Linked DNA regions of Canis lupus familiaris. The protein of the gene in region 2 interacts with the protein of the main gene of each other region in a pairwise test. Links are inferred from orthologs where the notes say so. Each region holds a gene or a part of one and is shown on either strand. Other genes may lie near its edges.

Evidence for each region.
Region 1: the proteins of SLC38A7 (region 2) and SAR1A interact in binary tests that used the Homo sapiens proteins (3 or more experiments, as listed by UniProt). The link is inferred for Canis lupus familiaris from reciprocal best matches to the Homo sapiens genes SLC38A7 and SAR1A.

The regions. Positions count from the first base shown.
Region 1 is NC_049225.1:21,863,862-21,868,085, reverse strand, and holds the start of SAR1A (GTP-binding protein SAR1a), read left to right. Parts: upstream 1-1,424; 5' UTR 1,425-1,537; intron 1,538-2,161; exon of another isoform or gene 2,162-2,347; intron 2,348-4,224. UniProt on the Homo sapiens protein: Small GTPase that cycles between an active GTP-bound and an inactive GDP-bound state and mainly functions in vesicle-mediated endoplasmic reticulum (ER) to Golgi transport.
Region 2 is NC_049223.1:57,267,998-57,272,206, forward strand, and holds the start of SLC38A7 (putative sodium-coupled neutral amino acid transporter 7), read left to right. Parts: upstream 1-1,400; 5' UTR 1,401-1,462; intron 1,463-1,468; exon of another isoform or gene 1,469-1,724; intron 1,725-1,734; exon of another isoform or gene 1,735-2,193; intron 2,194-2,608; exon of another isoform or gene 2,609-2,812; intron 2,813-3,721; 5' UTR 3,722-3,873; coding exon 3,874-4,143; intron 4,144-4,209. UniProt on the Homo sapiens protein: Symporter that selectively cotransports sodium ions and amino acids, such as L-glutamine and L-asparagine from the lysosome into the cytoplasm and may participates in mTORC1 activation. The transport activity requires an acidic lysosomal lumen.

The DNA of each region.
Region 1 (4,224 bases), on a different chromosome or scaffold from region 2:
CCCTATACCTCCAGGGCACACACATTGGAGGTCCAAGTCCTGTGGACACAGTTCCCCTGGTTTCACCAAAGCTGGTGAGAAGCCTCAGAACATGGCTTTCTGCATCTGGACAGGATTCAAACTCAATGCAGAAGACTCACAGGATGAAAAGAAGGGGTAAAGGGGTGAGCTTGTTCATCCAATGCCCTCTGAATATTACTGGAGTTGCCAGATGGCCACCTGATGATTTTATTTATTTATTTATGAGATAGAGAGCAGGAGCAGGGGGAGGGCAGAGGGAGAAGCAGACTCCCGGCTGAGCCAGGAGCTGGATACCGGCTTGGCTGGATCCCAGGACCCGGGATCACGACCTGAGCTGAAGGCAGATGCTTAACCGACTGAACCACTGAGGGGCTCCTCCCCAAGGTGTTCTAATTACTGAGCATCTATAATATATTGGAGTATCTGACAGTGCTAGCTCCCCATCCTTGTTCATTTTCAGATCCTGTTTGTTCCCTGAATAGCCTTGTTTATTTTTCCATTTGAATTTTAGGCGGGAACAAAACAGGGTGGTTTAACATACACACACAACCTACTGATCCTATTATTACTTTCATGGGAATTATGTTAAATTTATAGTTGTATTTAAGGAGAATTAAGATGTTTATATTGGGCCTTAACTATCCAAAAACATCATTCATCCCATTATTTGACTTAGTTTTCCTATCTGTAAAATTGGAGTAATAATACGAAACTCGTAGGGCTGTGTCTTCAGAATTAAGTGAGGAAATGCTCATGTTAAAAGTTGCAAAAATGAATTCCTGCTCTGCGCCTTGCTCGCCTACCAGCTCAGGCTCGGCTACTGGACTATTCTGAACCTTGGTCCTCCCATTTGCAAAAAATGAGGATAATAACAGTATCTGCTTCATCAGGGCTGTAATCGAAGTCAAATTAAAAAGACAAATCGAGGGAGGATTCACGCCAAGGGCTCGGAGCACCGCCTGGACCCTAAGCGCTCAGAATATTAGCCGTTCCTCCCAAACAACAGGCTATCCCAGAGAACCGCGACGGAAAGGACGGGCTTTCTGGGACCCACCCAGGGTGGAGGGCTGTCGGGGAAACGCTTCTTTCCGAGAACCGACCAAGCCGCCGGTCGCCGGCCCCCCGCCCCCCCGCCCCGACTCCGTCCGACGGCAGCGGGACTCGAACCCGCGACCCCGAGCGAGCCCCCGCCCCCCCCGGCTCCCGCCCCGCCCCCGGGGCCGCGGCGCTGCCACGTCTCGCGCGTCCGGCTCTGCGTGCGGGAGGGGGCGTGGCCAAATGCGGGCCCGCCCCGGGATCGCCGTGCGGCCCCGGCGTGGCGGAGCGCCGTGACGCCACGAGGGGGCGGGGTCGAGACGCGCCCGGAAGTCCCCGGGGAGGGGCGTGTTGCGTATATCCGGCGAGTAGCTGGCGGTCCCGGGTGCTGCTGGGCTGTGTGCTGTGAGGGAGGGTCGACGCCGCCCGCCGCCCGCCGCCCGCCGCCCGCCGCCGCCGGAGGAGCAGCCCCGCCTCGGCCGTGAGCAGGGGGGCTGCTGCAGGGGAGGGAGCCGAGGGCCGGCGGGGCTGCCGCGGACGGCGGGGAGGGTCGGGGCGGAGGCCGGCGCGGGCGGAGTTGGGGGGGGAAGTGACACGCAGGCGGTTCTGCGGGGCCGCGGGGCCGGTTCTGGGCGGGGATGGGCCGCCCCGGCCGGGCCGCCGCGTTCCGATAGCGCCCGGGGTGCGGGCCGGTCGGCCTTACTCGGGGTCCCGCAGCCGCCGGGCGGGTGACCGTTGTGTGTCCCGTGCGCCCGGGTTTGCGGAGCGGTGGCCCGGCCCGGCCCGGCCCGGAGAGCCCCTAGCCTGGGCGGGCGTCCTGATGACTGTGCGTGGCCTGAGCCCGAGGGGGAATCGCGAGGCCCCGGAGGCTGTGCCTTGGCCGCGGCCCCGCGGGTCGCAGGAGGAGCTCGGGGGGTCGCTCCGGGGCGCGCCCGGCCTCCCCGCCTTCGGCCCTGAGTTCTCGTCCGCGAGGCCCGGGTCGAGCCGGTATTTCCTCCCCCCACCTTCCTCTTTTCTGCCCTCTCCGGTGCGTGGGAAAATTCCTCCGCGCGTTTGTAGAAGTCCGCGCTGGCCGGGGTCGTAGCCGAGGCCAGGAGCGCGCTTGCGAGGGTTGGCGCCCCGCGGCCCTCGGCGGGAGTCTCCCCCTTGCTCTCGTCCCTCCTCCGTCGGCCTAGGCCGGGACTGGGGGCTTGACCTTTACTAGCTACCCTGCAGCTCGGCACAGCTTCTTAGCCGAAAACCTGCTGTCCCTCCCGGGTCGGCCTGGAGCGGTGTTTCAGAGCCGTGACGAGTACGTGTAGGAAGTGGGAGCGTGTGCAGAAAGGAACGTACACACTGTTAGTGGCTGATGGTCGGTGTTGCCTGGTGCCCCTCTTTTTTTTTTTTTTTAAAGATTTTTATTTATTTATTCTTGAGAGACACACAGAGGCAGAGACACAGGCAGAGGGAGAAGCAGGCTCCTCGCAGGGAGCCCGACGCGGGACTCGATCTCGGGTCTCCAGGTCCACACCCTGGGCCCAAGGCCCGCGCCCAACCGCTGAGCCACCCGGGGATCCCCTCCTCTTCTTTATCTACTTCAGTCCTGAAAATTTGCGAATTTTAATTTGGGGTACATTGGCAGTGCTTCTGTGGTAGTTTAGAGTTCTTAAGTTTTAGAGTATGCTGATTTGCCATAAGATGCCATGAAGTGCCTTAAGGTGATAGAGTGGATCAAGGACAGGGAATAAATAGAGTGCTAATTATCAAAATACCATCCATGGGACACCTGGGTGGCTGCATGGAGCCTGCTTCCCCCTCTGCCTGTGTCTCTGCCTCTCTCTCTGTGTGTGTCTCTCATGAATAAATAAATACATCTTTAAGAAAAAAAAAGTGTAAAACTACTCACGAGGGGTACAAATCCTAAGGTCTCAAGGATGGAGGAGCCTCAAAGCCATTTCTCTGACTTTGAGGGGCAATACAACGCAACGCTTTGGGTCCAATAGTTTTTATGATTTTGTTAGCATCACCTGAAGAGTTTCTTCAAGCACTTTTCCATAGATCGTTTTGGAGGGAAGAAATATAGGACTTTTATTTATTTATTTTACATATTTTATTTATTTATTCATTCATGGGAGACACAGAGAGGCAGAGGGAGAAGCAGGCTCCCTGTGGGGAGCCCGATGTGGGACTCGATCCCAGGACCCCGGGATCACGACCTGGGCAGAAGGTAGATGCTCAACTGCTGAACCACCCAGGCGCCCCGAATTATAGGACTTTAAAGCAGAAGTGTCAAGGGAAGATAAATTGGAAAATCAGACCAGCTCAGTTCCCGTGAAAAATTCCTCAAAGGAGGGTTTTCCCGGGCAGCCCCGGGTGGCTCAGCAGTTTAGCGCCGCCTTCAGTCCAGGCCTTGATCCTGGAGACCCGGGATCAAGTCCCACATCGGGCTCCCTGCATGGAGCCTGCTTCTCCCTCTGCCTGTGTCTCTGCCTCTCCCTCTCTCTGTCTCTCTCATGAATAAATAAATAAAATCTTTTTTTTTTTTTTTTTAAAGGAGAGTTTTCCCATTGTCACCCTTGGAGAATTCATTGGGTTTGGAAGAATTCTAAAATGATGTGGTAAAACTTTACGGTATCGACCACAAACCAGTGTAGTACAAGTAAATATGTAACAATGGGTTTTAAAGGAGTGCCCGGAGTGGGAGTGATCTTAATCAGACAGAGGTCTCTGTAAAGATGAGCCACGTTTCTCCAAGTTGTAGACTGAGAAAAGTAGGGAAAGATGCCTGGTTTGGGAGAATTGTAGAGAAGAGGCACATTGTTCCTTTACTTACCTACAGTGGGAATTTAAAAGCAGGAGCTTTCTACGTGTATTTAAGTCATTAAACTTTTTAAAGTGCTAAGTTTCAAGACAAATTATCTAACATGCTAAATTGGTTTCTGCCAAAATATATCTTAATGTTACTGAAAAAAGCAAAAAAAAAAAACAAAAAAAAAAACCCCACGACCCCATAGTATCTTTTTATGAAAGCTTTTGCCTTAGACTCTCACCCAAACTCCCAAGCCTCATTTGGTCTTCTGTGATAAGAGCCGTAGAAAATAAGCATTAAACAGTCCCAAAAGCCAATAGGTCAGGCTTGATTTAAAAAAAAAAAAACAATCAAAACCCAGTAATTGGACAGAAAAAAAA
Region 2 (4,209 bases):
GGGGAGGAGGGCGGGGGTGGGAGTGAATGGGTGATGGGCACTGGGGGTTATTCTGTATGTTAGTAAATTGAACACCAATAAAAAATAAATTAAAAAAACATCCTGGCTGTTGTACTGTAGTTTTGCAAAATGTCACCACTGAGGAAAACAGTAAAGAGTACACAGGAGCGGGATGCCTGGAAGGCTCAGTGGTTGAGCGTCTGCCTTTGGCTCAGGGTGAGATCCCCAAATCCAGGACTGAGTTCCACTTTGGCTCCCTGAGGGGAGCCTGTTTCTCCCTCAAGTACATAGGAGCTCTTGTATTATTTCTTATACCTGCATATGAATCTACAGTGATCTCAATAAAAATTTCAGTTTAAAAAAAAAAGACGGGGGGCAGCCCCGGTGGCTTAGCGATTTAACACCGCTTTCAGCCCGGGGTGTGATCCTGGAGACCTCGGATCGAGTCCCACGTCAGGCTCCCTGCATGGAGCCTGCTTCTCTCTGTCTCCGTGTCTCTCATGAGTAAATAAATAAAATCTTAAAAAAAAAAAAAAGATGGGTTTCTATGACATTCCCTGTGTTCCCTCATTAGTGAGGACCTTTGACACATGGACAGGTAGGTATAGTGGAGAGCATCTTCTCATATAACACAGACCTAGTACATTGGAAAGATTTTGTGACAACTTGCAAGTGTCACAGAGCCAAGAACAGAAGCCAGGGCTCTGGACACCCATTCCTTCATGCAACTATTTATTTACATGAGTAACTAGATGCCTCAGAAACTTAGAATCTAGGCCCTGGGCAACACTCAGACCAGTCTTCTCATAGTAGAGAACACACAGCACAGAAGGTCCTTCCCTGTCCTCAGTGAAAGAAACTACAGGGTCTCTGGTTGCGAGCCTGAAGGCAAGGAGGGAGACCGACAAGGATTAAGGAGGCCAATTAGGTTTGCCCACTTCATGAGACTGCTCAGACACCAAAGCTTCTAATGCTCTTCCTAGGAGGAAAGTGAAGTGTTTGGCTTGACCAAGATACCAGGATTAAAACTAACAGTAGGGGACCCTGGGTGGCGCAGCGGTTTAGCGCCTGCCTTTGGCCCGGGGCGCGATCCTGGAGACTCGGGATCGAATCCCACGTCGGGCTCCCAATGCATGGAGCCTGCTTCTCCCTCTGCCTATGTCTCTGCCTCTCTCTCTCTCTCTCTCTCTCTCTCTCTGTGTGTGACTATCATAAATAAATAAAAATTTACAAAAAAAAAAAAACTAACAGTGTAAGTATAGTGATCTGTATAGTGATCTGGGCGCGGAGAGGGGCTCAGGTCAATGCTGTGGGGTTGAGGATTGCAGGAGCTGGTGCCGTCCAAGACTAAAGCCGCAGAAAACTACAACTCCCGGCGTCTCCCGCGGCCGCCGCAGTCCCGGCGGTCATGTGACGGCTGCTCACGTGTCCCTGCCGCCGGCTCGGGTGTGAAGCGCTGTAGGTAGGTGGCAGGAGGACTGTGGAGGGTGGAAGCGTTCAGTGTCGGGGCCCCCGCTGCGGTGGGGTCCTGCCCACTCCCTGCAGGGCTCCGAAGCCAGGCGTCCTCGGCCTCCCGCCCGCCCTCGGCCAGCTTGGCCCCGCCGCAGCCCCGACCGACTGACTCCGCCTAGTGCTAGGCCCGGATCGCGTCCCAGAGCGCCTTCCTAGCTTACCTCACCGCAGCCCCTTCGCCTTGCTTCGGGCCTGGGCATCCTACCCTCCGGGTACGCCCTGACCCACCTCCCTATGCAGCCCACCCCGCGTATCTCTGGGATCCAGCCCCCCGGCTGTACAGGGAACCCGCTCCGATTGGGATCTCCGGGGGCCCACGGCAATGGTTACAGCTCTGGCCTGAGCCTGTGCACATCAGGCTTCTAGTTCTGGTTCTGCCAACTACCTGCTGTGACATTAGTCTAGCCCTTTTCCTTCACTGGGCCTGTTCCCCTGACCTATCTGGTGCTCCCATTCTGTGAGTTAGCGTCAGAGCTGCTCGGTTCCCTTCACTCTGCTGACCAGCCCAGAAACAGCTCAAACTCTTCCTCCTGCTGACAGCAGGTTTTAGGTGAAGTTTTGAGAAAGAATAAATTGGTGCCATAGAGGGAAGTGAGGAAAATCAGATCCCAGATCTTTGGGGAGAAAGACCTGTAAGGAGCAACACACCCTCCACCGTAGGCCATCAGGTGGAAAAAGCAGGTAAGCTGGGGGTTGTGGAGCTGAGGATGTTTTGAGGAAGAAGAGCTGAGAGCTCTTGGACCAGTGCTGAGACTTCTGTGTCTGAGATGTAAGCGGGGTGAAAGCGGAGGTCTCACAGCTCTGGGAGTGCTGACTTTGCAAGGCTCTCCTTGGAGCCAGATGGAAAGCTGGGAGCCCAAATCTCTACCTCCACTACTCACAGCTTTGATTTTTTTGGCTGAGTTACTGGTTGGGTAACAGGTTGCATAGGAGGAAGCCCTGTGGCATCAGATTGATATTTCTGGACTTGGAGGCAGCAGAGAGGTATTTCCTCTGGAACTGGGTCCCCTGGTTGCATCCTTGGTGACAGTTGTCTGAGAGCGCCCCCACTCTTCCTTTTCCCTCTCACGAGTGTACGATTCCTACCTTTGTTCAGCCATCACCAGAAGGAGAAATAGGAAGCATCTGACTACCTACCTAAGCTTCTCATTAGCCATTCTAAATGTATTGAGGGCATCAAAGGGATGTCTCTCTGATGGGCGGTGGTTAGATCAGTGCTGCAAGAGAAGAGTGAGAATTAGCCTTGAGTTTTGAAGGACTTCGAAGGCTATGCAGAATTTAGAGTCTGGACCAGAAAGAGGTATGTTGGACTGTAATTCACTGAAATAACCACAGTTGGGACGCATAGGTGGCTCGGTGGTTGAGCTTCTGCCTTAGACTCAGGTCATGGTCCCAGGGTCCTGGGATCGAGTCCCGTGTCGGGCTCCCTGCAGGGAGCCTGCTTCTCCCTCTGCCTGTGTCTCTGCCCCTCTCTCTCTATCTCTCTCTCTCTCTCTCTCTCTCTCTCTCTCTCTCTCTTTCTCTCTCTCATGAATAAATTAATAAAATATTTTTTTAAAATACCTACAGTTCTAGCTGAGGGCTGCTCTTGTGCAACCTTGTGAAGTGGAAACAGGCTGGGAAGCCAGATAAATTTAGATCCAAATCCTGCTCTTCCTCTTGCTAATATGTGACCCTAGGTCAGCTATACAATCTCAATGAACCTTAGGACCACTGTGGTATGGGACACCTGGGTGCCTCAGTGATTGAGTGTCTGTCTTTGGCTCAGGGCATGATGCTGGGATCAAGTCCCACATTGGGCTCCCCGGGAAGCCTGCTTCTCCCTCTGCCTATGTCTCTGCCTCTCTCCATGTCTCTCATGAATAAATAAATAAGATGTTTTTAAAAAGGAAAGAAAAAGGACCACTGTGGTAAGGACTGAATGAGATAAGATATGTCTACGATACTCCTGCTTCTCTGTAGTGCTATAGTGTTAGTACCCCTCTCTTTAATGTTTATGTCTTATTGACCCTATGGGTCTGTAAGCCTGAAGCAAGCAGGATTTGCAGAGGATGTATTTCTGTCTCTGCCACCCTTCACTGTGGTACCCACTGCAGTGTTCTGCACAGAGGGACACCTGGGTTTGAATCTCAGCCATCTGACCTTGGGAATGTTGTTTCAGCTTTCTGTGCCCATCTCAGGATAACGGTAGTACCTGTCTCCCATCTAGGTTGAAAAGAGCTGGAGCTCACAGGCCTCCTAGGATAATAGTCCCAAACAGGCTGGTGCTGGTCTCCAGCTGAAGGCGTTCCCTCAGCTACCCAGGAGATGTGGTTGTGAGGCCAAATCCACAGACCCTGCGAGAAGAGGGCTCCCAGGGCCATGGCCCAGGTCAGCATCAACAGTGACCTTGGCGAGTGGGGCTCGAGCACGGACTCTGGGGAGCGGGCCCGTCTGCTGCAGAGTCCCTGTGTGGACACAGCCCCCAAGAGCGAAGGGGAGGCCTCTCCTGAGGGCCTGAGTAGAGGCACCACTTCCACAGTGGGGGCCATCTTTATCGTCGTCAATGCCTGCTTAGGTGCAGGGCTGCTCAACTTCCCCGCGGCCTTCAGCTCTGCAGGGGGTGTGGCAGCTGGTGTCACGCTGCAGATGGTGAGTATGCTGGCCCTTAGGGTGGAAATGCAGGTCAGGTGCTAGGCCAGGGCTCTGTACCTCAGA